Regions from separate parts of the Mus musculus genome. Here regions 2, 3, 4, 5 and 6 are each reported to be linked to region 1. The links are microRNA targets in miRTarBase. Many come from high-throughput screens and were not tested one by one. Region 1 holds a microRNA gene; each other region holds the end of a gene's coding sequence.

The links. The annotated mature microRNA mmu-miR-19b-3p reads UGUGCAAAUCCAUGCAAAACUGA and lies in region 1 at 2,958-2,980, shown strand. An mRNA with a match to its seed (bases 2 to 7 or 8) in the 3' UTR can be bound and repressed. Matches are read on the target gene's strand: a 7mer-m8 pairs with bases 2 to 8, a 7mer-A1 pairs with bases 2 to 7 and ends in A, and an 8mer does both.
Region 2: the mRNA of Tmem25 is a reported target of mmu-miR-19b-3p. Seed matches in the 3' UTR shown: 7mer-m8 at 4,167-4,173.
Region 3: miRTarBase lists Mylip as a target of mmu-miR-19b-3p. Seed matches in the 3' UTR shown: 8mer at 3,335-3,342.
Region 4: the mRNA of Rin2 is a reported target of mmu-miR-19b-3p. Seed matches in the 3' UTR shown: 8mer at 1,995-2,002.
Region 5: the mRNA of Mink1 is a reported target of mmu-miR-19b-3p. Seed matches in the 3' UTR shown: 7mer-m8 at 4,246-4,252.
Region 6: miRTarBase lists Gadd45a as a target of mmu-miR-19b-3p. The part of its 3' UTR that is shown has no 7-base or 8-base seed match.

Annotation. Positions count from the first base shown.
Region 1 is chrX:52,739,899-52,744,970 of GRCm38, reverse strand. Mir19b-2 (microRNA 19b-2) reads left to right here and starts at 2,905; the gene lies at 2,905-2,988. It overlaps Mir363 (microRNA 363), which reads left to right and starts at 3,204; the gene lies at 3,204-3,278. It overlaps Mir92-2 (microRNA 92-2), which reads left to right and starts at 3,043; the gene lies at 3,043-3,133. Mir20b (microRNA 20b) reads left to right here and starts at 2,779; the gene lies at 2,779-2,858. It also overlaps Mir18b, Mir106a and Kis2.
Region 2 is chr9:44,790,630-44,795,701 of GRCm38, forward strand. It overlaps Tmem25 (transmembrane protein 25), which reads right to left. Exons shown (of 8, transcript NM_001357385.1): 5 at 5,053-5,072; 6 at 4,781-4,881; 7 at 4,562-4,648; 8 at 3,143-4,419. The coding sequence ends at 4,346. It overlaps Ift46 (intraflagellar transport 46), which reads left to right. Exons shown (of 12, transcript NM_023831.3): 12 at 1-2,085. Among named protein-coding and RNA genes, the nearest start is that of Tmem25, 6.1 kb to the right of the region's middle.
Region 3 is chr13:45,410,094-45,415,165 of GRCm38, reverse strand. It overlaps Mylip (myosin regulatory light chain interacting protein), which reads right to left. Exons shown (of 7, transcript NM_153789.3): 7 at 3,226-4,745. The coding sequence ends at 4,656. Among named protein-coding and RNA genes, the nearest start is that of Mylip, 23 kb to the right of the region's middle.
Region 4 is chr2:145,885,560-145,890,631 of GRCm38, forward strand. Rin2 (Ras and Rab interactor 2) reads left to right here. Exons shown (of 13, transcript NM_028724.4): 13 at 44-2,057. The coding sequence ends at 364. The region is part of intron 2 of Gm39954 (a long non-coding RNA gene); the gene reads right to left. Among named protein-coding and RNA genes, the nearest start is that of Gm39954, 6.1 kb to the right of the region's middle.
Region 5 is chr11:70,613,254-70,618,325 of GRCm38, reverse strand. It overlaps Mink1 (misshapen-like kinase 1 (zebrafish)), which reads right to left. Exons shown (of 33, transcript NM_001045964.1): 32 at 5,032-5,072; 33 at 3,844-4,697. The coding sequence ends at 4,614. It overlaps Chrne (cholinergic receptor, nicotinic, epsilon polypeptide), which reads left to right. Exons shown (of 12, transcript NM_009603.1): 5 at 16-171; 6 at 621-721; 7 at 979-1,179; 8 at 1,257-1,371; 9 at 2,551-2,665; 10 at 2,740-2,926; 11 at 3,012-3,118; 12 at 3,198-3,443. The coding sequence ends at 3,353. It overlaps 4930544D05Rik (RIKEN cDNA 4930544D05 gene), which reads right to left and starts at 2,432. Exons shown (of 4, transcript NM_001145537.1): 1 at 2,322-2,432; 2 at 2,022-2,222; 3 at 1,721-1,928; 4 at 1,436-1,568. The coding sequence starts at 2,387. The coding sequence ends at 1,528.
Region 6 is chr6:67,031,120-67,036,191 of GRCm38, reverse strand. It overlaps Gadd45a (growth arrest and DNA-damage-inducible 45 alpha), which reads left to right. Exons shown (of 4, transcript NM_007836.1): 4 at 420-1,096. The coding sequence ends at 533. Among named protein-coding and RNA genes, the nearest start is that of E230016M11Rik, 2.9 kb to the left of the region's middle.

The DNA.
Region 1 (5,072 bases):
GCATGCGCGCACTCGTTGGGACGTGGGGACACCTGGGTCCCACAACTGCTTGGGCCTCGTAGCCTATCTCCAGAGGGGGATGGGACAAGCGCTTCAGGAGCCTGACCGGACAAGGTAGTAATGAGTGCGCCATTCTGGGCAGGCGACTGTGGCACTGGTTTAGACTGGCATCCCATGGGTGCTTGGATTAAGGAAGGACTCTGGTGTTGGGGACAGAAGGGCAAGGCTGAGGGAGCGGGTCCTGTGTGTCACTGGGGCACCGTGGGCTTTGGCCTGGGCGGTGTGGGGGTTCCATTTCCTAATTCCTGTGTGGGCCGAGTGGGCGGGGGCGGGCTTTCCCCCCTAGGCTATTAAAGGCGAAGGGCGGGCTTTTCCCAGGGATCGGGCTTTGGGACGCAGCTCGAGGTGACGGACCGCTGCCACAGGCTCGTGTGCACAAGTGGTGCTGCGCGGACACTTTGGGGGTTAGGTGTGCGTGGGCCGCCGGGGCGCGTTTCCTGCACGTGGCTCCTCGCCGCCCTCCCTCCTCCACCAGCTAGGAGAGCAGAGGGCCAGGAGCTCTAGGAAGATGCGTGCGGTTCCCTGATCCTGGCAGGCAGGACAGCAGCGGGATGGTCGCGCGCGCCACCTGCCAGGGCGGGTCACTGGCAGATCCCCTACGCGCTTGTTCTGGATGACTGGACCAGGAGATGCGTACCTCCGCGGGCGCAGCTGTGATCCCAGAGAGTTAACTAAGGTGGGAGGGGATGGAGCTGGCAAGACTTGAGAAAAGCAAAGTACCTGAGTGTAGTTGAGGGGTGCCAGGCAACTCGTGAGAAAAGGACTCTCCCTTGTTGCTCTGAAGGTTTCTGGAGAACTTGTGGGTGGTCAAATGCCAGGGTGCACGTGGGGTGTGGGGCGGGAGGACTCCCGACCTACCTTGGTTTCCCTCCCACCAACCCGAGAATGGAGGGAGAGGCTTAAGCTTGGCGCGTTTTGGGGGCTTTGAATGGAGAACTCCGTTTCCCATAATGCTTTGTTTCTTTCTGTTTAATTTTGGTGGCCGCTAAGGTGTCTTGAAGACCTAAGCGCGTGGCATGACTGGCTGGAGCACACCCTGCGTTCCCAGGAGGTTCACAGATCTCTACTGGAGCCGCTGCTGAAGATGCGGGAATAGACCAGAGAAAATCCCGAAATGGTAAAAGACTGGGTCCTCTTTGCAATTTTAGAAGTTGTACAGCGACTTTCTAGTATATATGATGGAGAGCAGATGTGTTAAAGAAAGGTATTAGCTAGAAGGAGCTTTCTCTGGAGGGCTGAGGTATGGTTTTGCGAAGTTGAGTCAGGTTTTGTAATATATTTTTAGTGGAGGCAAAAATCTCTAGTTGTAGGAACCCAGTTCAAGAAGAAAAGTATAATAAGCCAATACTTGCACTATAGGAAGCAGATTTCATATTTACTTCAAAAGTTTTGCTAATTTATATTTAAAATGTTTTAAGAACTATCTTAGTCACTAAGTGGCTTCGAAAAGTTCCAACATTTAAAATATCCTTTCTCATTGAACACATTTCAAGTTTTGTGTCCCTGAAGTTTATTGGTGTCCCCCCATCAACACAAACATTCCATCATGGGAGGGAGGGAGCTCGTGACCCCTCAGACTGTCCTCTGCAGCATTTTCCTGGGTAAGATACACACTTGGAAATGAGAGAGGTTTTTCCTGTGGAAGATAATGACATGAAGCCAAAGAGCTAATCTGACTTCTTTAGGTTTAATGGAGAAAATGGGTCCATAAATGTTTAAACAGAAGTAGAGCCCTTTGAAATAGATGAAAATGTGACATCTCTAGGCCATCTGTGCGGTATGTGAAGAGTGTAAAACTGTTTCTTAAAGCGGCTCTGAAATTTCTATCATTTTCTCTTAATGGGCTGGGGGCAGGGATGCTTCATGTAATCAAACATAGAGACCTTCCGAGTGGCTCCCCAAAGCTCTGGATGAGCTCAAGACGTCAGTACTCACCCTAATGTTATTTATTTATTTTTTTGCTTACATCTTTTCCTGGGCTCTTGCCTCTTAGAAAACCATGGTGGATATTACAGCTCTGCAAATTTTCTGGGATGCGAATCTCAAATTTCCTTAGACGGAGAGGGAGTCCAAAATCCTCTTACTCTTAAGAGTCAGACATTCTGAGATTGCCAGTGTTATTCATGTTTAAGTCTGTGTAAATAATTGAGCTTATTAATGTTTGAAGTAACACAACCCCATTTGCACTCTTAACGGAAGGCAAACTTGTTTTAGAAATAGTAACTCACAGTTCACTTACTTGCTGTGTGTGTGTGTGTGTGTTTATCCAGGTGAGTCTGCAGATCTGGCAAAGAAGAGTTCGTGGAAGACTTCAAGGTTACACTCCTGGAGTATGCCTTGGCCATGTCAAAGTGCTAACAGTGCAGGTAGCTTTTTGAGTTCTACTGCAGTGCCAGCACTTCTTACATTACCATGGTGATTTAATCAGAGGCCGCTGAGTCCCCTGGTTTCTGCATAGTTAGATTGTGGATGTTTTTGAGCTGCTCCTTGTAATGTGTCTCTTGTGTTAAGGTGCATCTAGTGCTGTTAGTGAAGCAGCTTACAATCTACTGCCCTAAATGCCCCTTCTCGCACAGGCTACTTCTTACCTTGCATTTGAAAAGCATATCTTGAGAAATGATTTGAACGGCACAAGTTTCAAAGGCTCTTTCAGTGTTTCGCCGAGAAACAGATGGCGGAGACTGTAGTATACAGTTGTGTAGAAGAACAAGCTCGGATCCTAGTAGTGCCAAAGTGCTCATAGTGCAGGTAGTTTTTATACCACTCTACTGCAGTGTGAGCACTTCTAGTACTCCTGGATCAACCAAGGTCTTGTTGAAGCAACTACAGCGCAAGGACATTGCTACTTACGATTAGTTTTGCAGATTTGCAGTTCAGCGTATATGTGAATATATGGCTGTGCAAATCCATGCAAAACTGATTGTGGGAATGTGTACCTTTCTGCATCGTAATGGACACCTTTATGCACATCTTCAGCATCCATGCCCATTCATCCACAGGTGGGGATTGGTGGCATTACTTGTGTTAGATATAAAGTATTGCACTTGTCCCGGCCTGAGGAAGAAAGAGGGTTTTTAATCGTCTTTTAGTTTCTGAGTATTGTAAGTTATGTTAGACTGTAATTATGAAATGAACTGTTTTGCTGTTATCAGGTGGAACACGATGCAATTTTGGTTGGTGTAATAGGAGGAAAATTGCACGGTATCCATCTGTAAACCGCAGGACCTATGTGGACAGCCGTCTATCAGTGCTATAGTAAGATTGTAAAATCCTTTAGCTAGTCATTGCTTTGAACACATTTGGAGTGGATTTTTTTTTTTTTTTTTTGGTTTTTCAAGACAGAGTTTCTCTGTATAGCCCTGGCTGTCCTGGAACTCACTCAGGGTGGCCTCGAACTCAGAAATCTGCCTGCCTCTGCCTCCCAAGTGCTGGGATCAAAGGCGTGCGCCACCACGCCCAGCTTGGAGTCTAATTTTTTAAAACTACATATTTTTAAATATATTTGAAATCCTGACATTTTGATTGCACTGAATGTAAACAAACCTGAAATTTGCAAAATAAAGCTGATATATAAGTCTGAAAAAAAATGGGTTTCTTTTTTCTTTTTTAAAAGATTCTATTTATTTATTTATTTATTTATTTATTATATGACAAGTACACTGTAGCTGTCTCCATAGACACCAGAAGGTGGCATCAGACCCCATTCCAGATGGTTGTGAGCCACCATGTGGTTGCTGGGATTTGAACTCAGTACCGCTGGAAGAGCAGTCAGTGCTCTTAACCACTGAGCCATCTCTCCAGCCTGGGGCTCTCTTTTTTTTCTCTCTTTTTTTTTATTAGGTATTTTCCTCGTTTACATTTCCAATGCTATCCCAAAAGTCCCCCATACCCACCCACCCCCACTCCCCTACCCACCCACTCCCCCTTTTTGGCCCTGGCGTTCCCCTGTACTGGGGCATATAAAGTTTGCAAGTCCAAAGGGCCTCTCTTTCCAGTGATGGCTGACTAGGCCATCTTTTGATACATATGCAGCTAGAGACAAGAGCTCCGGGGTACTGGTTAGTTCATATTGTTGTTCCACCTATAGGGTTGCAGATCCCTTTAGCTCCTTGGGTACTTTCTCTAGCTCCTCCATTGGGGACCCTGTGATCCATCCAATAGCTGACTGTGATCATCCACTTCTGTGTTTGCTAGGCCCCAGCATAGTCTCACAAGAGACAGCTATATCTGGGTCCTTTCAGGAAAATCTTGCTAGTGTATGCAATGGTGTCAGCGTTTGGAAGCTGATTATGGGATGGATCCCTGGATATGGCAATGGCTCTCTTTTTAAATTAGCAATACTATTGGCTTTTCTAAAATAGCGTCTTGGTATGTAGCTCTGGTTAGCTTGGAACTCAATTTGTAAACTAGGCTAGCCTTGAACTTGCGGAGATCTGTGTGTTTCTGCTTCTAGAATGCTGAGATTAAAGGTAGGCACCCCTCCACTCCTAGACTTCCAGCATTTACATACATTTATCTATCTATCTATCTATCTATCTATCTATCTATCTATCTATCTATCTATCTACTTATTTAGTGTGTGTGTCATGTGGTGATTTGAGAACAACTGTAGGGAGCTAGTCATGTGGGTCATGGACATACATCTTAGATTTCTTAGGCCCGATGGCAAGTGCCCTTCCCCCACTGAGCTGAAAACAAATTTTATAGGGTATGTCTTGAAGGAACATTTGAATATAACTGGAATTTAAGTTTGCGTTGAGTCTTTGGTTTTATCACTACTGAAAACCCTGCCAGTCCCATCTCCAGAGAGTGACTGTCATCAGGTGAGCCCTCAGGATTTGCCTTTGTAACCCAGTCTCAGGTGCTGATGGTGCTCGCCCAAAGAACTATAGGTTAAAAAAAAAAAAACGCCCGGTTCTATTTTAAGTTTCAAATTCATAAAGTTGAAAGGACTCAGGCACATTTTTTACCCCACTTTCTCATTCTGTTTCATGTGTTAATGTTAACACTGC
Region 2 (5,072 bases), not on the chromosome of region 1:
TTGGCAGCTTAATGTCTCCCTGCTCCACAGCTGGGCTCTGTCAACATGAACCCTGCTGCCTTGTCCTCGAGGGCAGGGCACACCTTGTTTACACCTGCCTCCCGTTGCCATTCCAGAGGAAGGATGTAGCCACTCTGCTGTGGGCCTCTGAGTTGGAAGAACTGGGACTCTGAGAGCCCCAGGACACAGGTTGGGGACAGAGCTTCCAGAGACACACAGACTGCTCTGTCAGGTTGTGATGGAATACATACTGGTTTTCACCCATGGCTTCTGGCTCATTAGTGTCCCATTGCCCTGATGCTCTCTAGAGTGAGTAGGGTCGGGTTGGGGCCTTACAGCAGGCCTGCCTGTGCCTCTGAGAATCATGTCCTTCTATTTGACCTTCTGCCCTTCTTTCACCTCCCTTTCTCCCCAAGCAGCCCACAACCCCGAATCTTTCCCCAAGGCAATCATGGACATCTGCTCCTACAATCTTACATTCTTTTATTTTACTTTTGTTTGTGTTGTGAGGCAGCATCTCCTGTAGCCCAGCTTGGCTTCGAACTATCTGTGCAGGCTGGTCTTGAAGGCCTGATCTTCCCGCCTCCACCTCTACCTCCCAGGTACCAGGCCTTCAGGTATATTCAGCAAACCCAGTTTATTCTTAAATTTGTTGACCTATCTGGATAATAGACCAAGACCCTCATTTAGATGGGCACTTGCCCCTTACCAGCAAGGAAGCAAACTGAGTAATTTCCAGACCTCACTTGGCATCCCACCCAAACCACAGCATTAGATCAGACCATTTTTGCCCAGTCACATGCCAGCATAGTGGTCCAGGTTTCAGCTGTTCCTTCGTGTGATGTCTCCATGGAAACTCAAAAGGTCAGGCCTTGGAGAGTTTTCAGACAGTCAGATACAGGGAGGTTCCCAAAAGGTGGCATGCATCTTACACATCTTTGTGAATTTTAAAATAATTGTATTTGTTTTAGACTGGTTCTCTGTACAGCCGAGAGTGGTCTACAGTTCACTATGAAGCTCAGGCGTTACGAGTTCATTATCACCTTTTGCTTCTGGGTACTAGGATTACAGGCCTGAGCCACCGTGCCCACTGTTCACCCCTTCACCTGCATCCTTTGACCATCTTTCATGAAAAATTGAGAAAAGTGTTTCTCTAGGTTCTGCAATATGTTGAACTCCGAGGAGCGGGTTGTGGGGACGCCTGACTAACCACTGGTGGTTGAGAGGCACAGGCAAGAGCGTGTGGCTCCAGGGAGCACGGCTGTGGCAGTGTTTGGAGGAGCTGCTTAAGCGGGGTGGAAGTGGAGGAGAGATTCAGGAGCAATTTGGAGTGGTATCAACTGGTTCCCAGCCAGGAAACCTGAAACCGTTCTAGAGTTTTGTTGGGTTTTTGTCGCTGTCTTCAGACACACCAGAAGAGAGCATCGGATCCCATTGCAGATGGTTGTGAGCCACTATGTGGTTGCTGGGAATTGAACTCAGGACCTCTGGAAGAGCAGCCAGTGCTCTGAACTGCTGAGCCATCTCTCCTGCCCCATTCTGGATGTTTTTAACAAAGGACATTTAACACAACAATTTGGTGACAAAAGTATGGGGAAGGAACTGACAAGATGGCACAGCAGGTAAAGGTGCTTGTCACAAAGCTTGGCCACCTGAGTTCAATCCCTGGGACTCACATGGTGGAAGGAGAAAACTACTAAAACTTGTGTTCTGTAAGCCACGTGCACTTGCATGAGCATGCACACACACATACACATGCGGGCACACACACAGTGGTGCATGGTAGTTTAAAGGTTGGTATCTAGGAGGTGGCTGTGGCCAGATGATGCTGAGGGCAGAGGAGGGTTGCAGAGCCTCACCTACCACTGCAGGGACTTTGAGCAAAGTGGTTGCTTCCTCTCACCTCCTCACCTCCCATGACAGACAAAAATGCAGACCAGGAATCAGAACCCAGCAGCACAAGAATGAGGAATTTTCCTTTGTCCACGTGGAAGCTCTCAGCCCCACCCTTGGAATTTTTATGGGGACCTCATTGCACAGGCTTGATTGACTCCAGGACAAATACGTAGAAATAAAACCAGACCCAAAGACTGTGATCCAAAGACCCAAAGATTGCTAAGATGCTGGGGGCAGAGGGTGGGGTGGGGTGGGGCTGGGGGACACCCAGCAAGGCCTGTGTTTGGTCCTTCAGTATTCCCTCCTCTGTGAGAGACCCGCTAAGAGAACCAAGGATGACGCTGAGATATTTTAGGCTTAAGCAACTGAATGGGTAACCGAGCCATGTACTGACAGGGAGAAAGTGGTGTCACAATGGATTGCAGGGAAGGCTCCACTGTCAGCCTGACCAACACACACACAGACTGTTCATGAGCCTTACAAACTCAAACCAGCTGTGATCACGTCAGGCTTGGGGCTGTGTTGCTGCCTCATTCTGACACTAGGCCAGGCTCTCTGCTTTCTCACCATTAGCGTTAGAGTTTGCCTTATGGGGAGTGGAAGTGTGCAGTGATCGCTCAGATGCTCCGTCAGGGCTCCAGGGAACAGACCGCTGTAGCTACCGCTCTTATGGTCACTACTAGTCCACATTAGACTAACAGATACTGAACTGCTGCTCCCGGCGGGTACTCAGGTGCCTGCTGTGTGATCGAAAACATTTAATACAGAAAAGACTGGCATGGTCCCTACACAAGGATAATGTGATGTGGAAATTCATGAAGGGGTCCATAAAACTTTTTTTTTTCTGTTTGAATCTGAATCTGTTGTATTTTGTACAGGGCATTATCCTCTTGCTACTTTGTGAATAAATCTGCTTAAAATGTCAAAAAAAAGAAAAAAGAAAAGAAAGAAGGAAAGAAAAAAGAAAGAGAGGAAGAGGAGGAGGAGGAGGAAAGGCTAGTGTTTATGCACTGGCAAAGCACTTGTGTGGCACACACCAGGCCCTGCAGAGGACGTGGGGTTCATTTAACGCATACTTGGAAAACACGGTGGTAGTACATGGCCTATAATCCCAGCACTCGAGAAGTGACTGCAGGAAGATAAGATCACATTGCCTCTGTCCAGTACTGAATTCACGGCTAGCCTAGACTACATGAGTCTCAAAAAACAAACACAAGTAAATTTTGAAGAAATGAACAAACACTTCTTTCTTTGGTCAAAGGAGTTTACTGTGTGTGTAGCAACTGCCCTAACCAGTAACATGAGAAAAATTACAAAACAAGATACGAAGAAGGGAGAATAGACGCCGCACTCTGATGGTCGCCAGTCGTTTTCAGGTTGCTTTTTAAAAAGTATTAGCTCTTCGGAGCTCAGTGGGCTCCTGCTTTCTCTGTCCCCCCTAAAGCTTCTGGCCCTGTTGGATTATATACCCAACTGTGACCATCCCCTAAAGAATAGGATGGGGCAGCCAGGCTCGGTGGAGAATGAGGCTGCATGGTGGGAGAGACATGCAGAGAGGGCAACCACCAATCCTCAGTGCTCAGAACACTCACAGTGAATTGCGGAAGGCCGAACATGGGGAACCCAGGAAGGCCCTGGGCCTTCCTCCCTTCCGGGGAATGTGCTTAAAATGCAGACACTTGTACAAAACGATGCAGAGCTACATGTCGTCCTGGGAGCCAGCCCACCGGTCACCTCTTCTTGCTCATCTTGTGCTAACATCAAAAGCTGGCACCTGCAGGCCCCAACCAATGGGGGGTCTAATGCCCAGTGAAGAAGGTCTAGGGTATGACCGATGATACCCAAGAGGAGGTGGGGACAAAAGGGTAGAAAGATATGCAGCAAAAGGGACTTATTTGTGCTTGGCCAGGTCCCTGGGCAAGGGGCTGGTTCCTGAGCAAAGGGCAGTTTGGTTGTATACATAGAGCAGGGGCTAAGTTTTCCCTGAGGGAACAAAGCTGCATAGCATAGGAAGGACATCTGAGTTGTGCAGGGACCCTCCTGTCCCCCACATAGGCATCTCTCTGCCTATGTGCACAAGGTGCAGAGGATACTAAGGTAGGACATATAATAGGCCCATCTCTTAGATGTTGGGTGACACCTGAACGCACCTGGCCAGGGTTCTGTGTGCCTGGACCAGGTTATCACATGCAGGGCCCCAAACTCAGTGAGTGCAAGGGGCTAGTTCCGACCAGGGGTCTGCCAAGGGTACCCATGCCTTGCAGGTTAGAGTGCAAAGAAATACACATGCATGACCCACAGGGTATCCTTGCCAGGCAGGCCAGATGGCAGTGACATGGTTTCTTCATGGTCACAACAGGGACAGGCAGAGGAAAGCTTGAAGGAGACACCAGGGTGGGCACTCTGGGGAGTCCACAGGCCACCTGGGCCTCATGCCTCACCATCAAGCTCAGAGCCAAATCTCATCACTGCTTACACTGGACACACGGTAGATGTAGCCCAACATCGGGAGACGGATGAAACCTGTGGGTCAGAGATGCCAGGGGATTAGGAACCCTGGTTCTCTGGAGCTTGGGGAAGTCCCTTCTGTTGGCAGCACTCAGGGGCCTTGGGTATAACAAGCACAGGGATGGGAAGAGGAGAACAGGAGATCTCTGCTCATTACCTCGGCTGGTGAGGAGGCCACCAGGCTCGGCTTCTAGAAGCTCTGGACGGCTGCTATGCTGAGCCATTGGCCGCTCTGTTGCTTTCCCTGTGGGTGACAAATGGAGTGGTGCCCAGGACAGGGTTTTGTCTAGTGGGACTTGTCTCCTCCTAAGAACCGGGGTGTCTCTTTCTTAAAAGTTCTGAGCATTCAGCACAGGCAGAGAACTGGTCTGGGTACCTCTGAGATCTGGAGTGAGGTCATTGAGCTGAAGGTTGGATGGGAGGGACATGTTCTCCCGTGGCAGGCGCACATTATTCAGTTTCAGGTTATTGGAGTCACTACGGGATAGACAAAAGCTAACATAGACCCTGGTACCAGCAGATAGGTAGTCTGCTTTGAGGCTCAAGCCAGACCTCCTAGAAATCCCAGGTTGCCAACTGTCCTTTACTTTAAAATTCAGTGATTTGTACTTTAGTTTGGCCCATCTGCCCAGCCCCAGGAAACATTACCTAGATATCAGAGAAGGACG
Region 3 (5,072 bases), not on the chromosome of region 1:
AGAGGCTCTTCCTTACATAATCCAGACATTTTGGTTACCTGCCCCTTCTTTTCTTCTGCACCTTTGGCCTCCTGGCTGATGTACCGGGCTCCATTCCACTCTCTCCCTTCCCCTCCCCCTCTCACCAGGAGGTTCAGGGTCACAACCACTCTGGACTCTCCCAGATGTGTCAGCCTCTGGCTATGCTCTCCCACATCTCTATAATAAACTTTCTCCTTCACCATACTGAGGAACTGTCATGTCTTTCTCCTTCCTCCCTTCCTCCCTCCCTCCCTCCCTCCCTCCCTCCCTCCCTCCCTCCCTCCCTTCCTTCCTTCCTTCCTTCTTTCTTTTCCCCCCTCACTACTGGCATAAGCTTTGGATTTAAATAGAGGAGGAACCGAGGCAGGAAAACAGGGGTGTGCATAATCAAACATCCAATCAGTTGGTCTCTGTCTTATTCTAGTGAAGGGTTTTGAAGAAGTCCTTCCTTATGGCTGTCATGACTTAAAGGCATCAAATGGCCCCCACACGATCATTCTAGGGTACAGCCTGACTTTCATGGGTAATTATTCTCATCTTTGGGCGTGGCCTCTCTGTCTGGTGGTCTTCTGCTGTGCTGGGAATCCAAGATGACTTCTGGAGGTCAGATTAAGGACATTGATTTCTGTCTCTGTCTCTTTAGCCTGGAGACAGGGACCAAAAGAAGGCAGAGGTGCTCGGCTTTCATTTTTTAGTTATCTTGAAGGCCCAAGGGGAAAAACCAAAAACAAATGTTTGCTTTTTAACAAAACAACTTCCAAGAGCACGTTTTAGCCCCGCCTCCTCTGGGGGTACCAGCTGCTTCTTTGGTCACTTTCACATCTTTAACACAAAGGGCTTCTTTCTTTCTCAACCCGGGAAGTCCCAACCCCGGAAGTCCCGACCCCGGAAGTCTGACTCTGGCTTCTAACCAGTTCCAGGTGATTCTAAGTAGGGCCTCTGTTAGCTTTCCAGGATCCAAACAAAGCAAATTCCTTTCTGTTCCTGAGGATCCCTCCTACTGTGGTTTGGATGTAAAAAGTTCCCTTAGGTTCATATATCTGAACACTTCGTCCTCGGCCGGTGGGGCTGGCTTGAAGGACTGTGAAATCTTAAGGGAGAAAAGTCCTGCTAAAAAGAGTGGGTCTCTGAGGTTTCATAGCCTAGCCCACTTCCTGTCCAATGTCTGCTCTCTGCTGGCAGGCTCAGCACGACCAGCAACCTCATGTGCCTGCTACCATGTTTCCCTCTCCTTGATGGAGTAGATGCATCTCCTCTTAGAGTGTGTGTCCAAATAAATCCTTCTTTTCCCAGGTTGCTTCTTGACACAGGTATCTGGTCATAGCAACAAGTCACTAACCCCTTCCCCCTATGGATTCTCCTTTCAGTTGTTTTCAATCTTTATGACACGCCTCATCAAGTCTTTTCATTTGTCTTACCCTTTTTAAAAAAATCTTATTCTTTGATCATTGTGTGCACGCATGGTATGTCTGTGTGTGTACATGCCACGGGGAGCATGTGGAGGTCAGAGGACAACTTTACTGATTTCTCTCCATCCACCTTAAAAAAAAAGTATGTGTATGACTATTTTGCCTGCATGTATGTCTGTGTCTCACATGCATGTCTGGTGCATGTAGAGGCCAGAAGAGGGCATCAGATCCCCTGGAAATGGGGGATCCAATTGGTTGTAAACCACCATGTGGGTACAGGGAATCTGACCAAGGTCCTCTGCAAGAGCAGCCAGGGCTCTTAACGGCTGAGCCATCTCTCCATCCATCTTCCACTTTGTCAGTCTTTGCCTACTGAGCCATCTCTCTGGCCCACTTTCCTTGTTTTCTTCATGTCAAGACATAATCAAAACTGAGTTGTCTCTCTGCTCTCCTCTGTCTCATGTGTTAGTTGTTGTACAAGCTTTCCTGTCTTGCCAGTTCCTGCCTCTGAAGGCAGTAGAGAGTACCAAAGTCAAACCTGGAATTGAAGGTTCCCCTCACTGTTTCCCCATGCCACATATTCCTTCAGAGCCTAATTTCTTATCAGTGCATTGATATGTGAGCCTGGGCAAGACCCACTGGCTGGCTGCATTGTAGCCTTGACAGGGGCCATACGGCTTTTCCCCCATCTACAGAATACAAGTCTTGCTCAAAGGTCCTACTGAAGCATGTTTACCCTGGACCCTAAGCAGAGGTAGTCAGTATCTCCTATGCTCAGCAGTGTGTCGTCCCTTATGCTTCTAGAAAGCCAAGTAATACATGGGTTTTCATGCTGGTTGCTAAGCTTAAGTCCCTGGCCCATGGAGTACAAGCAATGTTATTTGTTGACCTGTCACTCACCCACCCATTCATCCTGGTTATCATTCTGAGACAGTCATGTACACAAACCTGAACATCACTGAACTTCCATACGGAAGCACCCATGCGTGTCACAGGCACTACACAGACACTGTAAATCCCAAAGACACCCAATACTCTGCTGCTGCTCTGGGTATGTGATAAATTGTGTCTTTGACTGTTTTTCTTTGAAAGTTCTGGGGCTCATTAACCATTGAGTTGTTGTCTAATAAATATGTTGAATAAATGAGCTGACTCCTAGAAACCAATGGGAGGCTGTGTTGGGGTCTGTCTCCCAATTGTAAAGGTATCAGTTACAGATAGTTTAAAATACTCTACCATACAAAGCATTTTCAGCATAGATGTGCACACACCAGCACAGCCCAGCAGAAGCATGCAGTAGTACTGTAGGAAGGCAGTCCCGGACACCACAGTATGTTTCTGCTGTGACTGAGCCTTGCGAGCCCCATGTGTGACCGTCATAAGCCAACTTTGCTGAGTTGGATCTTTCCTCTCCTCTTCATGTGGGTTCCATGATGACTCAGGCCATCACACTTATGTAGCAAAATCTTTTACTGGGTGAGCCACTTTGCTTCCCTCCTCCCCAAGCTATCCTTTGCATACACCATGTGTGTCACAGAATCTTGTTCACCTACCTTCAAACCTTGTATGTCCAAAAACAGATGATAGAAGACCTGGGCAGATCCTCTCAGTGAAGCCACCTTAACACCTTAAATGTCCCAACCTTGAGGTGAAGTGCTCACTCAATGGCAAAATGGCCTACGTGACAATAACCATAAGATCACAAAGGCCCAGTTTGCTTTAAAGTCTTTATTATCCTGAATATAAAAGACAGAAGTCCTCTAGGATATAACAGAGTTTTTTTTTTTTTAAATGTGGAAACATTATTTTTTTTACAAGTGAAAAAATAAATACCTCTTGGAATAAAGGCTTATATGCTAATATGTGCCATAAAAAAGTAGAGTTTTAATATCTGACAAAATGTCTGTGCAAAGAAACAAATGCATAAACACATTACTGCTACATTAAGGCAATATGAAACGTAGACTCAGAAATCTCAGTAAAGTGACAGTGTAGGCTTCTAGCTTTAACTTAGCTAGTATTGCACCCGATGAGGTCAGCTAGGTTTCCTGACACCCTAGAAAACCCCCTAGCTCACTAGCTTCCAAAATGCCCAAGTGGGGGTGAAAACTTAGAATATGGAAACATAAAGAAGTAGCCCTACCTCTGGAAGACACCGAGGGGGCAGGACAATGAGTATGGAAGCACTGACATAGGAAAACTCGAACAACGAGAAACAAGACATACACAAAAAGGAGACACTATCTAGAAACCTATAAGGCTGTAGAAAGTTTGATCTTCAAGCAAGGCGACACCCATGGGTGCAGCTGGAGTGAGTGCTTGGGAAAGTGAAGAACCACTCGGGCATACTGAGTGGCTCTCTGGCTCATCTCTCTCTCTCTCTCTCTCTCTCTCTCTCTCTCTCTCTCTCTCTCTCTCTCTCATCTTTTTCCTTCAAGGAAGCTACTCTCGCTTTCCAATCTCCAAAGCCCAGGGAGTGCTTGACTCTACCATGTATGTCTCTTAACCAAACTGGTAGCATTTTTATCAGTGAAAGGCATGGGGTGTGGAATGAGGGGAAACGGAAGGGCTCTAGGAAGGAAGTCACCCACGGTGAGTTACCTATTGGCTCTCAGCCAGACTGCTTCCAATCTGACAACATTGCTGTCAACCCTTGGGAAGTCACAGGATTGCTTTTTTTTTTTCAATCTGCCAGCTTTTCCAGTTGTTCTTGAATGAGTTATAAAGACAGAAATGACTTTTATAATGAGGACTATTTCTTTAAGAAAAAAAATCCCTATTAAAAATATTCAGCGCTCCATGACCATACAAAAAGAACCAAGGAAATCCTTAAAACACTTACAAAATCTGCTGCCCGGGGAAAAAGTGAAGGAGACATATGACGTCATTTCCTAAAAGGTGCCCACGGTTGGGCCATGTTGCCACTTGACTGACGAAGACGATTCTATCTACTCCTTTACTTGATCATTAAAAAAAAAAACCAACCCTAAAGTTCAAGGAATGTGTCCGTGTCCCAGAGTTCTTCCTGGTGGCCATGGGGCCTGTTGCTTCTCCTCACGGAAGAGGTGTGGTCACATTCTTGTTTTCTTTTCCTCCTTGTTTCTGAAAATGTCTCATGGCAGATGGGTGTTGAGAGTGAAATAGCTCTTCACAAAGTTATTATTCTTATAGTTTACAATACTGCAGCTTGTGGGGACATGGCTTGTCCATCGAGTGCAGGACGCATCAGATGACAGTCAGATTGAGGAGACTGGTGTGGGTGGGCAGGTAGACGTGCTGGACATGCTCCACACGGGATCTGCAGACCGGACAGGACTGCAAAAGAAGCCACCACTGGTTAGGACATTTGTGGGACCTGGGAGTTCAGCCTTGGTGCCCCGACAGTCAGTTTTCTAGATACGACGCCACTGTGATCCAGTTCTAAGCTTTCAAGTGCTCTGGAACAGGCTTGAATATTTATACTTTATACAGATTAACAACGAATGTTAGGAAAAGACATCCACTGAAGAAAACTATTTTCTGTCAAACTGTGTGTGCGTGCGTGTGTGCGTGTGCATGTGTGCATGTGTGTATGTGTGACCAATGGTCATCCTCGTGTGTCAGTTCTCAAAGACCTCAACCTGTTTCTGGACACAGGGTCTC
Region 4 (5,072 bases), not on the chromosome of region 1:
CTTTTCTGCGCTAGCTCCTGACATCTCTGTTTTCCCCTTGCAGAATTACCTCCGAGTTGCCTTCCAAGAGGTCAACAGCGGATGCACTGGGAAGACCCTCCTTGTGAGACCGTACATCACCACAGAGGATGTGTGTCAGCTCTGTGCTGAGAAATTTAAGGTGGAGGACCCTGAAGAGTACAGCCTGTTTCTCTTTGTTGATGAGACATGGCAACAACTGGCAGAGGACACTTATCCTCAGAAGATCAAGGCCGAACTGCACAGCCGGCCTCAGCCCCACATCTTCCACTTTGTCTACAAACGAATCAAGAGTGATCCTTACGGGGTGATTTTCCAGAATGGAGAAGACCTCACTCCCTCATAGGGGACACTTGGGACTTCCCATTGATACATCCAAAAAGGGAGCTGAGAGTCTAGCTTTCTGGCTGCCTTGGGTTTGAGCTTAGAAGACAGCCACCTCCTCAAGCATCCCTCAGTTCAGTGACTAAGCCATCCATAGGCTGATTTGGCCAAGGGCATCCTTTAGATACATTGCCCAGATGAGGTAGCTGAGATTTGGGAAATAGTAAGACTCTCATCCAGAAATGGTAAATTGCATTTAATGGTTCAGGTGTCCTGAGATCACTGGTTAGTTAACTAGTTAACCTTAGCCAGCTTCAGGGTTGGCTTACACATCTGTATATGTGCTGAGGAAACACTTAAGGTACAAACTCTTCTCTTGGATTCGATAGCAGCTGTTGACAAGACTGTCCGATGCAGTTCGTCAGGTCCCTCTCAGCTTTGTGGATGGCTCCATCCTTCCCTCTTGCCCTTCTTTTGTCCATCCTTCATCCTATACTTTTTTTTTTTTACAAAGAGCCTTTGTGTTTTTATATATTTCATAGAAAATTTTATAGCAGTTGCAGGTAAACTGTCAGGATTGGTTTTTAAAATATTTTTGTAACTTTTAAAATATTCTATAAGTATGCATGTGATTTAACATTTAATATTTGAAGATAAATCTCTTGCTGGATTTGAGAGTACTGCATTTTAGACGCCTCATAGATAATCTCTCTTCTATAACTGGATATTTTCGGCAAATTTGTGGGGAGAGACTTCTGGTTGTCTTAAAGAAATCCCTGACGCTGGCCACAGGCTGCCTTTGAAAAATCGGGTGTACTGTTGTTACATTGTTGTTACATTGTTCACTTTTAGCGGTGTATTGTTACATTGTTCACTTTTAGTGCTGGTGTCTGTTTATGTTTTTAAGCAATCGAGGCTGAGAATTAGAAGAGAAATGAATGTAGAGAGAGGTAGAGAGAGAAACACAGACTCTAAGGGGGGGACTGAGGAATGTAGTCTGCAGGTTCAGGCTCTTCGCAAGACGTTGGAAAAGGAGTCAGTACTGTAAAATATGTGCTGCGGTGAGCTTTGACAAAGATCTGTTCCATATGCTATCTGCTTTGGGGAAAAGTAAATCAAGGATAACGATCCCTCTGACCCATTTTGTAAGCCGACACTAAGGACATCCATTTATTTGGAGGCAGAAACCAAGTCATGTATAATACGAGTTTAGTTGAGTTCAATGAGATGTTGATGGGGAGAGAATGCACTAAAACCAAAACCAAACCAAAAACAAAACAAAACAAAAAACAAACCTTCTGTATTTGGTTGGGGCATGGTAGAGCTAACATTCACACACTAGCATGCTGGGTTCCATCCTCAGTGTGACAAATAATGAGCAAAACAAGCAGAAAACATGGATGTATGGTGAAGTTAGACTTATGTTGTATAAGATGAGTTTATGGACACACGTATTCCAGAAGGGTCATACATCAGTGTAATACAGATCATTGCAAAACAAAAGCAGAAAGCCATGTTACTATCCTGTGTAAGGATGTTCAGGCATCTGATCTGGAGGACCTCGTACCCTGTACAAGGCTTTTGTTGTCCCAGAACCCTCCCTTGGCACATGCTGGGTTGTGCTTCCTTTTGTAAATGATTTTCAATGGAATTTTGCACATAATACATTGTAATACTGTACAATAATCCTATGTAAAATAATTTTTGCAATATTCTTCAGTTGTCTTTTTTGTTGTTGGTGGTGGTGGTGGCAGCTATTTGTTTGAGTCAGAATATAATCATGTACCCAAAGATGCTGTGCAAGTGTACATGACAGTGGCTGGGGCTTGGTGGCCTCTGCCTTTTACCATAGCACCCAGGAGGCAGAGGCACATGGATCTCTGTGAGTTGCAGGCAAGCTGTGCTACATAGTGAGACCCTGTTTCAAACATCCAGGGGCGCAAACACACATGTGTACGCATGCACACAGTACACAACCATGAACTCCACGTTGATCTGGTAGTTTTGAAGAGCAAATAGGACACTGCTCCAAAGCTTATGGACCAATGGAACAGAAATCAAAAAGCGAAGAGAACAGTTGGTCCATGGCCCACAAGTATTTGCACGATTATCCAGCCCAGTACTTGGCTTAGATGGCTCCAGAGCAAATCACAACTGATCTGAACTCAGAGCCAGGCAGGGTCCTGCAGACAACTCCTCCCTGTCCTTAGGCAACCTCTGCTGTATCCTGGCTGAGAGTTAGGATTGCAAAATCTGCTAGCATCGCAGGCCTGATCCTCTGCTGGGTGTTCTGGGGATTGCAGCCATGCGACTGCTAAGTGCCCATTGCATCCCTGTGGATAGGGAGAAGGGAAGTTCAGAGGGTTTCTGGGATATCCATAAGATAGCTACTTCAGAGACCAGAAGGAAGGCTGACTGAGCTTGCTTTCAATGTTTGGAGCGAAGAGACACTGCTCGCGACATCTGTCCAGTTGCCCTCCCAACTCTGCAAATTTAGACGATGAGGCTGTCCTTAGGCTGAGGTACTCCTCTTAGATTAAAAGCGGGTCACGACATCCAAATTAGGCAGTTCGAGCAGGCCCCGTGAGAGCAGAGTCAGAAAAGCTAGAATGAGCAGAAGAAAACATCACAAGACTTGCCCTGGTTTGTCATTGGGCAATGCTTCCCTGGCAGAGTTTCAACACATGTGTCTTCAGTTTTCCCCCCACGCAGGCATTTCTCACTTCTCAGTTTGTCAGGAAACAGGCCCTGGTGGAGTTTGGATAGGGTAAGAGCAGAGTAAAAATATACATGCTGGACGGAGGGAGAGGAGGGTGCACTTCCAGACCTAAAAATATCTTGAATGGCAGCCAGAGGAAGGAATTTTGTTTTTGATGTTGGACAGACTGCCAACTATGACCCCCTTAGGGACACAGAAAAAAAAGAAAGAAATGGAAATTGTTAAGGTTGTTTGTATCATGTGGAAGTTACTTTAAATCTACAAGCAAATGCAAACTAAAGGAAGGAAGCTGGGCCTGACTGCTTCCATTCACAAAGGCAGCCTCACTGCCCTAGCAGCTCTGACCTTCCTCTTCTGGAAGAAACATGAAATAAAAGGGGCCTGTGGTGTTTAGGAGCCTGGCTCTACCCTCAGGTGTCTGGGAAGACTCACACAGGTGGGGATCTGTCTATGTGGGACACGTGGTGTAATTGCCCAGAAGTGTCTGAGAACAAAATGGCGACTCTCTGTTTTCAGACCATTCGAGTATGGGTAAATTTGAGACCCAAATGTTGTTTGCCATTTGGTGATCCTTAGTCGTGTGGGGAAGATGACCTTCTCCACAAGTCACATTACAGTGCCGAATCACAAGCAGATGGCGGGAAAGGAGAGGGAGGGAAGAACTGGCATTTGTTTCAGGAAACATGTTCCATACTGAAAAGGGTCTGTGTTTTAGCATCAATGAGTGGGTAGCAGCTGGCCCAGACTTCCACATGAATATTGACTCTGTTGGGGAAGGAACCATAGGGAGTTTAAAAGAACAAAACAAAACAAAACAAAAAGAGGGAAGCATATTTGGAGTTAGGAGTGTAGCTTGATAATACAGGGCTTGTGTAACATACTCTTGGTCCTGTGTTCGATACCCAGCATGCACTGCACACGCACGGCTACCCACCACTCCTCACTCCCACCTGTACCCCCCACACACACACACACCCACCAGGAACTCACTCAGAGATCCGAAGGGTATCAGTACTCTTCATTTTACATTTTGTTGATGTCATTTGATGTTTAAGACAAGTTTCACCATGTACCCTAAAACTGGCCATAAACTTGCTGTGGTCCTCCTGTCTCTGACTCCTGAGTCAGAGACTTTGTTTTCTTTTCAGACTAAGAGATTGAACCCAGACTAGATAGGTGCTTTACTATTGATCCCCACCCCAGTTCAGTCCAGAGCCAATACTCCTTTGTTGTCATTTTGAGATAGGGTCTCACACAGTCCAGGGCGGTCTCAAGCTCCCTGTAAAGTCAAGTATGGGGCTGGTGAGATGGCTCAGTGGGTAAGAGCACCCGACTGCTCTTCCGAAGGTCCGGAGTTCAAATCCCAGCAACCACATGGTGGCTCACAACCATCTGTAACAAGATCTGACTCCACTCTTCTGGAGTGTCTGAAGACAGCTACAGTGTACTTACATATAATAAATAAATAAATAAATCTTAAAAAAAAAGTCAAGTATGACTTTGAACTCCTGATCCTGAGTGCTGGGATTATATACATGTGACACAGAGCCCAGCTAGTGGGCCAGTACTCTTACCTGAGGGATAACCAAGGTTTGTCCTGAGGATTCTGGATGGAAAATGTCCCAAGGAGTGACGTGGCTAGGGGACGGGTTCTTTTCTTGATTCTAATAAAAACTGGAATCCTAAAGCAGGATTTTCCAAAATTCTTATTCTCTATATTAAAAGCACCTAGAATAGCATTATATGACTGCCTCTGGGTATTTCCTTTGACAGAATATATTCAAATCAATGTAGCTGAAGATTTTACAGTTTGCCTTGTGGGGATGAGGTCTACAGAGAGCTAGGAAAGACATTCAGAATACCCCTGGCTTGCCTCTCGGAGCAGCTCGTACATTTCCAGGACATTTGTCACTCACACAATAGAAGGTGTAGTCACTAGCTCTTCCTCTTTCCTTCATGTGATCATCTCCAGTTCTTCTTATGCCCCACCCCCACCCCACCCCTACCTGGG
Region 5 (5,072 bases), not on the chromosome of region 1:
GCTTGGTTTCCACAGTATTGATGGGCAGTTTGGAGTGGCCTACGACAGCAATGTTCTAGTCTATGAGGGAGGCTATGTGAGCTGGTTGCCCCCAGCCATCTACCGCAGCACCTGCGCAGTGGAGGTCACCTATTTCCCCTTTGACTGGCAGAACTGCTCTCTCATTTTTCGGTAGGAAGAATCACTTCAATCATGATATTGAGAAGGGCCTAGAGCAGGGGACAGGGCCTGCTAAGGAGGGATAGGTGGGGTCTTCTTTGGAAGGTCTTTGGGAAGGAGTTGGAGTGAGGCACTGGAGTGAAGGGGTGGGAAGCTGGTGTAGGTTTGCAGTAGGCGTGGGCACAGGTTTCTTGCTGCCATCTTGTAGTTTGAGCGCATAGTCGCAGCTATTCCCCAGGAGGAGTCTGAGGCATAAAAATTACTTGAGTCCAGGAATCCCTTGGATAGCACGGTAAGCCCATCAGCAACCCAAAACAGAACAGAAAAGGAAGCAGGATTGGGAACGCGCTGGGGAATGTGGGCAAAAGAAGAGAGCCATATTACCCTGCCAGATTGAAGCTTCCAGGGTGGAACTAAGATGGCTGCCAGCTTCTGGGGTAAAGACTGGCCCTGTTTCACAGCTCCCAGACCTACAATGCTGAGGAGGTGGAGTTCATCTTTGCCGTGGATGACGACGGCAATACCATCAACAAGATTGACATTGACACGGCAGCTTTTACCGGTGAAGGGATATACCCCCTTTCCAAAAATTCTTCTCCCAGATAAGGTTCAAGGGGGGACGTTCAGGGTAGGGCTTGGCCTGAACCACACAACCGGAAGCTGAGCTTCTTGAAGTCAGTCTAGATGTGTTGTTTCCACACCCCCACCAGAAATGCCCCTCTCTACCATTCTGCCCCCGTGCTAACAGCCCAGGTTTCAAGCAGCCCTCTTGGCCTGGAGTTGCAGGTGTGCGGGCTGACTGTGCCCTATGTCCTGCAGAGAATGGAGAATGGGCCATAGACTACTGCCCAGGCATGATTCGCCGCTATGAGGGAGGTTCCACAGAAGGTCCTGGAGAAACTGACGTCATCTATACGCTCATCATCCGCCGGAAGCCGCTTTTTTACGTCATTAACATCATTGTGCCTTGCGTGCTCATTTCTGGCTTGGTGCTGCTCGCTTACTTCCTGCCTGCGCAGGGTAAGGGGTGACCCTGACTCCTGAACCCCAGGCTGGGCTTGCTCCCTGGCTTGCCTCTCACAGCTTGCTCCCTCTAGCTGGTGGCCAGAAATGCACGGTCTCTATCAACGTCCTGCTAGCCCAGACTGTCTTCTTGTTTCTAATTGCCCAGAAAATTCCAGAGACTTCTCTGAGCGTGCCACTGCTGGGCAGGTAATCTCAAAGTGGATCCCACAGAGATAGGGGCATGCATGGAGAATGTAGCCAAAGAAGGCTTGCATAGGGACCTGGTGTTGTCCCGTTCTGGACTTTTATTTGGACACAGGGTTGGACTGGGACAGTGATGGATTATCTGTTCCCCCATTCTCCTCACTGCTGCTGGGCGACACCTTGAGGTTTCCCGAGTCTCTCTGTTAAGAGGACAGTATAGTTCAGCATCTCCTTAATCATACCTCCTCTGACCCATGTCGCACCCTTTATCCCAAACGCACCGGATCCCCAGGGACCCCAAGGCCCAGTTGGCATAGGGTTTGTGGCAGAGATGAGGTAGACCCGTGCAAACCTCGTCCACACAGGTACAACCACGCCCCCTGGATCAGGTACCGGGCACTTGCGCCAGCTGCCGTTCCAGCTTGCCGAATCCCCTGCCCTGCGGCCAGGGCTACACGGGCCAGCGCCCTACCAGGATCCCCAGTGTCTGGGGCTGGGCCTGGGCAGTCGTTGCCGCCGTCCAGTCGCTGCACCTCCTGCTGCAGCCACAGGGCCGAGATCTACATTGGGGCATATGGGCTAGAGGTCCTTGCTTTTGTTGGCCTAGCCCTCTCCCCCTTTTATTCCCATCCCTCAGCCTCCCAGAGCAGCACCTCTAACAAGGTGGCTCCAAAGCTCATGATGCTGGCTGCAGCTTCTCTTAGCACCAGCCCTAGGGTGGCCTTCTGGGTGGGCGACTTGTCGGATTCCAGGGGGTCCTGGGACTTAAGCTCTCTGAACCTTTGCACCAGATATTCGTGAGCTGCGGCCACAGCAAGTTCCAGGGAAGATAGAAGTGGAGGCTGTAAGGCCACCTGGAGGAGCAAGGGTAGTGAGTGGAATGATCACATGGAAAGGGCCATAGCAGGAAGAGCTGGGGACCTCTCCAGATTCTGCCATTCTAATACCCTCACCTCGGTGGAGCTGTGGAAGTGGTAGACCCACAGCAGGGTGTCCAAATTGCTGGGAATCCCCTTCATGTCCGCAACAGATGGTATATGCAGAAGGGCCAGGACAATACTGGCATCGTTGAGGAGGATCAAGAAGTAACGCCACCAGCTGTGCGGAGGTGGTATTTGTGAGGTAGAGGGCAGCTAGTGCCTTGTTTGTGGGGTGCTGTGACATCAGGCTTCTGTATATCAGGTATCTTATATTCGTCATGGTGGTTGCCACGCTCATTGTCATGAATTGCGTCATCGTGCTCAACGTATCTTTGAGGACGCCAACGACTCATGCTACATCCCCTCGGCTGCGCCAGGTAAGCGCTGGTTGGAGAAAGTACTGCCCAGGGGTGGGAAGCGGGCTTGGAACCTCTCTCTGCCCCGGCTGCAGATTTTATTAGAGCTGCTGCCGCGTCTCCTGGGCTCGAGCCCACCCCCAGAGGATCCCCGAACTGCCTCACCAGCGAGGCGTGCCTCGTCTGTGGGCATTCTGCTCAGAGCGGAGGAGCTCATCTTGAAAAAGCCGCGGAGCGAACTCGTGTTTGAGGGTCAGAGGCATCGGCACGGAACTTGGACCGGTAAGCACTGCTCTTGGGTCAAAGGCATACACTCGCCGTTAGGGACGCTCTTTTAATGACCTAGCGCTTGCTGTTGCCTTAGCAGCAGCCCTCTGCCAGAACCTGGGTGCTGCAGCCCCAGAAATCCGCTGCTGTGTGGATGCTGTGAACTTTGTGGCTGAGAGCACAAGAGACCAGGAAGCCACTGGAGAGGTGGGTTGGGAGGTTGAGGCGGAGCAGTGCTAGATGCCCCGCCCTCCAGGCTCCTCCCTCGCTAAGCTCTCTCTCACAGGAACTGTCCGACTGGGTGCGTATGGGGAAGGCCCTGGACAATGTCTGTTTTTGGGCAGCTTTGGTGCTCTTCAGCGTTGGTTCTACTCTCATCTTCCTTGGGGGTTACTTCAACCAAGTTCCTGATCTCCCTTACCCACCGTGCATCCAACCATGAGCCTGCACTGGCACCCACCTCTCCCCCACCCCCCAAGAAAGAGATTTTGAAAACAGGCCGCTGACAATAAATCTGGTTTGTGAACTTGCAGGAGGGGTTGTGTGGTCATGTGGGTGGGTCCAACTCCTCAGGGAAGTAGAAGATGGGTGGGTGGTTTGGTCAGGCACTTGGAGGCAATTGGTTCAATTTTGCTCTTGGCTCCTTCTAACCTAAAGAATGTTTATCTAGTTGATAGCCAATGAGGTTTTTACAAGACCCAGATATAGAAACACTGAAGCCAGAAGTCTGGCCTGGCCCTGCTGGGGCTGGTAAAAACTATTCTCAAAGGGTCCTACCGTGTCAGGACTGATCCCTGGCCTATTCATCCACCTTACTTCGTCTCTATTATCACAGTAACTTCACAGAGCCTAATGCCTTTCCTCTACCCTCTGCATTCTCAACTCTCAAATCTCTCCAGGATTGAGAGAGAACAATAGTAGGATCTCAAAATGGTGGAAGCTGGTTGAATTGTCTTTATTAACAAAGGGGATATATCCAAGGCCACTACATTGAGAAAGGATACAGGAGGGAGAAGGGCTACTTGCTGCTCACACTATATACAGATGCAAGCAAGGGAGGATAAAGGCTGGGAGCTCTGAGCTCTCTCCTTCTAGGGAAGGGGAGAGGCTAGAAGGGGTGGGAGTGGGGAGGAAAGGGGGGAATGTTTTGGCTATGGGGTCCCTCCTCCATTCCCTGGGGGTTGGGGGGGAATCATTAAAGTGCTTTCAGAAAATGAGGAATGGTCCCTGCCCCTGGAGTGGCTGGTGACCGCCCCGCCTCCAGAACCCAGGGCCCAGTGAACACCCCCCCCCCAGAGTCTGGTACATTCAAGGGGGGAGCCGGCTCCCCTGGCGTGCAAATAAAGGGGTCAGGGCCCTGCTCATTCAGCAGCAATGGGGTAAGGGGTCCAAGCCCCAAGCGCTCTCCTCTTCTGTGGAGAAAAGGGGAGGAGCAAGTCCCACTCAATTCCTGGTAAGGGGAAGGAAGCTGTGTCATTCCCCACAAGTTGGGGAAAGGCACAGTTTTGAGAATGTTGGGGGAAAGGGTGGTCACGTGATCACGAAAGCTTCAGGGATATGAGGTCACGTTCCCAGCAGGCTCCAGTGAATCAAACCAGTAAAAGCAAAAGCCCAAGGGGGTGGGAGGGCAGGGGCGGCCTGGGTAGTCTGGCTGTGGGAAGAGAGCTGGGTCCATGTGGGGAGCCCCAGCCCAGGGGCCTCGTCACCAGTTCATGATGCAGTTACGGTTCAGAGTCATAAAGTAAACTTGGCTGCTTCCTCCAGAGCGGACAGAGGCAAAAAACACCTGAATAAAGTAGAAGAGACATCACCAAGGGCTAAGTGTGTGTGTGTGGTGTGGGGGCGGGGGGGAGGGGTATGCTGGGAAGAGAGACGAGGTTGACACTGGGGGAGAGAGAGGAAGTGAATGACACCTGTTTCTCTCTATCCCCAAGGAAAGGCAAAAAAGTGTTACCAGGTCCCTGGGGTAAAGGCAACAGAGCCCACAGGGAAGGAGGGTGTGGCTCTGACAGCTCAGAACAGCAGAACCATTCCAAACCCCCAGATGCCTGCCCAGAGCAAGGTCTGGAGAGGCAGCCCATCCCCTGGGCTAGGCTCCTTTCAGAGATACACTGCCTCACCTTGTCATTGCGCTCACACAGGAACTTGAGCCTCTGGGCTC
Region 6 (5,072 bases), not on the chromosome of region 1:
CTGGTTTTTTGTTTTTGTACTCTTTCTCTTCTGACTTGTGTAGGGAAGTGACTGCCTGGTTACTTGTTGCTGCCAGTAAAATGTGCTATTCATCGTCAGGGAAGATAAGAGTTCAGCAGCTGCCTGCCCTGCAGCCCTCACCGTGCACACAGCCTGAGAATGCTTTTCAGGAGTCTTTTACTTATGACCCACCAGGGTACATGCTTGGAAGGGAGGTCTTAAGAATGGTAACCTCATGCAGAATGGGGTAGTTAATATGCAAAACTCTGTGTAGTTCCGTGCACGTTACAGGTGTTTAGACTATGCTAGATGCTGTTTTTAACAGAATGTTCGGGGTTTGGCCCTTTCAAAAGTAGCACAATTAGTAGCAGAAGCTGATTATTTTCCGGGGAAGTAATTTTTTCAAAATCTGTTCACAGAACCCACATTCATCACAATGGAAGGATCCTGCCTTAAGTCAACTTATTTGTTTTTGCCGGGAAAGTCGCTACATGGATCAGTGGGTGCCCGTGATTAATCTCCCGGAACGGTGATGGCATCCGAATGGAAATAACTGAACCAAATTGCACTGAAGTTTTGAAATACCTTTGTAGTTACTCAAGCAGTCACTCCCCACGCTGATGCAAGGATTACAGAAACTGATGTCAAGGGGCCGAGTTCAACTGCACGAGGGCTCAGAGATGACTTTGCAGAGGGAGAGAGAGGTGAGCCTGAAGAAGGAAGCTGCGAGAAAAGAGAAATCCAAGGCAAAAGGGACAAAAACTACAAAGCACTGCAAGAAAGAAAACTGCTAATTTAGGATGGCCAGGTTACTTTCAAATAAGCCAAATATTGCTTTGTTGAAACTTTAAATGTATAGCAATAGTTTGGGTATTTTTTTTCTTTTTTTTTTTTGGTCTTTATGCCCTCAAATAAAAGGAAAGTAAAAGAGGATTAATCATATTTTCAAGCCACAGTTTAAATGTATTTTGATGAGATGTTAAATTCTCAGAAGTTTTATTATAAATCTTACTAAGTTATTTTATGATGTGAAAGGTTATTTATGATAAAGTTTTTGAAGCACATTATCTAAAATAAACTGGTATGGAATAATTGTGTCATTTCTCAACGTGTGGTTTGTGTTTTACAATATTGATTATTGGACATTCTATTGAAGCTTTGCTGTATTTTACACTAGGCAGGAAGATGGTGGGGGGGGGCGGTTGTAGAGGGTCGGGGTAAGGAAAAAGGGAATATGGCAAGATTCACCTTGCAAAGTCTAAATTACAGTGAATGACTTAAATGCTATAATTAATTGCATGCAAAACGTGGAAGCAGAGAGGAGGGTTACCAAAGCTGCTTGAAGATGAGTGAAGCTTTTACTGAGGAAAAAACATTTCATTGGAGGCATCAAAGATCACAGCCTGCAGAGAGACCTACGAGGGTGTCTCTGCCTGCCTCTGGTGTAGGCAGATAAGTGAGAGAGGGTTGGAAAGGTGGGGGTTCAGCTCAGATGCTGACAGGAGTTCTTGCATCACCATTATGTATTTGAGCTTCTTTCTGTGAACTTGCCACAGTCTGCAGAAGGAAGTGACCTGGTCAGTGTTGTAGGTAGATAACTTGGGGAGGTATGGGGTAGTAAATAGGGTGAGTGGCTGGCTATACAGTACCAGCGTAAGGGAGAACCGTGGCAAAGGGCAGGTTTTGTCAAGTTGTAGCCTCTTCCCAGAGAATTTCCCCTACTGCTGTGAGAGGTCTGATTATGTCAGGGAAGAAGTGTCAGAGGAAAAAGAAGAAGAAAAGACTTCAGTAGAAGAAGCCTTTCTACTGTCTGGTTAGAAAGCACCTGGTAATTAACTGTAGCTGGGAGGCAGAGGCAAGGGAAGCAAAGGTGTGTGCTGAAGACAAAGCCTGGCAGAGCTATAGTCTCCACTGTTTGCCCCTCTCCCTCCCCTCCTCCTCCCCCTCCCTCCCTCTCTCTTCTCCTCTCTCTCTGGAGCTCTCTCTTTCTCTATTTCCCTCCCTCCCTCCCTCCCTCCCTCCCTCCCTCCCTCCCTCCCTTCCTCTCTGGAACTCCTTGGGCCCCTACTGTTTGCCAGCCTTCTTGTGACCATCAGGGAGAGCAGAAGAAACCACAAAACCCTTAAGCTTCTGCCCATCTTGTATAGGCCTATGAGCCTTCTGCTTTTCTACTCTTAGGAATGTGGATTTCTAGGCCTTATTTAGTCTTTGCTTGAAGACAATGTGTAATCCCAAACAACTGGAATAACAACATTTACTTTTATATTAGCAGGAGATTTGAGAGCAATTCCTTTCGAGCAAGCCCTTTAGCCTTCCCACTAGCGGCTTGTTCGGTTTCCACAACTGTTGTATTTCATGAACTAAGTTAAACCAAGTAGGACACGTGGAGAAAAGCAGCTGTTTGCTGGAAAGCACATGAGTGGCAGTCAGGTCTCCACCAGCACCCCCACCATTCATTCATGTGTAAAATGAAGAGCACATTACCCAGCCTACAGAGTTGCCTTTTATAGCTTTGTCATCTCTTGGAAGGATGAACTTAATATCTGGTCCACTGATGTATCCATACATTAGATGATGAGGTAATATTTGTTTAATAAATGAATGATTAGAAATCATTATGAACCCGAGGCTGTAGCTTCAGTGATAGATAGAGCATGTACGAGATCCTGCAATATCTCTGGCTCTGGGGAAATAATCACTACCTGGTACATGGTATTTGCTCGGATCATAGCAACAGGAGAATATTGAAGGCCTTACAGAGAGTTGTTACTTATACATATTATTAAAAAGGAGTTTGAGGCCGGGCGTGGTGGCGCACGCCTTTAATCCCAGCACTCGGGAGGCAGAGGCAGGAGGATTTCTGAGTTCGAGGCCAGCCTGGTCTACAGAGTGAGTTCCAGGACAGCCAGGGCTACACAGAGAAACCCTGTCTCGAAAAACCAAAAAAAAAAAAAAAAAGAAAAAGAAAAAAAAAAAAAGGAAAAAAAAAAAAAAGGAGTTTGAGTCATTTAACCCCAGTGCTTAGTGAGATGAAGTAGTGGGATAAAACCTTCAGATTACTCCATCTCTTGAAAAGCTCAACAATAAGTAGAGTTAGGTATTCTTTTGATTTTTGTTTTGTTGTTCTTTCATAAGATAACTCAAACATAAGTTAAAACAAATTATGAGCTGTTGGCTCAGTAGGTAGTTGCCACCGAAGCCTGACAACCTGAGTTTGATCTTGGAAACCCAAGGGAGAAGAGACTTGACCTCTTCAACTTGTCCTCTGACCACAGAAGTGCATGACATGTGCACATGCACCTATACACATACACACACACACACACACATACATACACACACAAACACACACACACACACACACACACACATACACACAAACACACATACTTATACACACATACACACACATACATACACACACATACACATACATACACACACAAACACACACACACATACATACACACAAACACACATACTTACACACACATACATACACACACATACACACAAACACACACATACATACACACATATACACACACATACACACACATACACACAAACACACATACATACACACACATACACACACATACATACACACACATACACACAAACCCACACATACATACACACACATACACACATACACAAAAACACATACAACACACACACACACACACACCATCACCACACCACACCACATTAATAAAATTCATAAAAAGCTAAATCTATGAAAGAGTTAAGTATAAATAAAGTATGCCTCTAACTTGTGCCAATATTTAGTTAATTGCTTTAGAAATTATTAAACAAGGTTGGGGCAGGAGGATTACTTTGAGTTTAAGGCCACTAGGTTACCTAGTACCAACCCACCCTGGTATCCTCTTAAAAACACAAAAGCAAGCAACTGACTTCCTTACATGCAACAAGAACAAAGACTTTACACACCTACTGAGATGTGCTGTTTGCTGAAAAGTGGAAAATACCTATTTTTCCATAGGTGACTTCATAGATTCAGTATTGCTTCTGCTTTGTCTGGCTAGTCTGGGTCTTTAGTATGTTAAAGCTCCGTAATGAAAAGAGTCCATGAGAGTAACCTTTTATAATAAACTATTTTGCAAGCTAAAATAAAAGGTGCTATTTGTAGGAAGCTAGAAACTTGTAGAGTTGCCTTATGACCTTACTGTAACCTTCATCCTTAAAAAAAAATTGTATTCTTGCCATATAGGAAAAGGTTTGTTTTCTTCAAGAACAAAACTTGATAGCACTGATGCAACACAAAGCTGAATCCCTCACACAAAAGCTGAATTTTTCTTTTCCTTTAAACAATTCGTTCATAAACATAAGAACTTGGTTGAAGTTGTACTTACGAAACTACCAAGAGCTCTTTAGTGAATGTTTACTGTGGTCATTAGAATTGTCTAAAAAAGATCCTTTGGCCTCAGGGAGCTCACAGTCTAGTGAAACAGAAAGCACATTGATAGGGCCTAAAGTAGAGTCCAGCAACAAAAGGTTTAAAGGACTATTGTGGAAGTTTGAAGGGTAGAAGTTTCCTGAGGGCATATAGGACAGAATGGAGGAAAAGGTTGTAAGTTCTTTGATCGGAGTTAGCGTTTCATTTTGCAAACACCATAAAAATGCTTGGCTGATGGATTATATCCAATTCTGCTAGATGCTGCAGAGACTAGAGATGTAGCCTATAGGACCTCTTGGCACTGAGAAGTTTATAATTTGTAAGAAAGTCAAATAAGTTCCTACCAGAGATTTACCGGATGTCTGTCATGTACAGAGTACTGTGTACCAGGGCTATAAAAGCAGCAGTAATTTACCTTCAAGGATGCGCCTAGTTTGGTGCGTGTGTGGTCGTGTGTGTGTGTTTGTATGTGTATGTCCCCCTATCTTGACACTGGGTGAATAGAGAGGTGCCCAACACCTAAGGATTTCTGAGGCTGGAGACAGGTCCCTAAAGTTGACCCATTTGCCAGGGAAAGTGAAGTGCTTTGTTGCAGAAGGAGCTCAGGTGATGGGGTTGACATTCTTCTTAATGAAGGAGCTCCTGGCATACT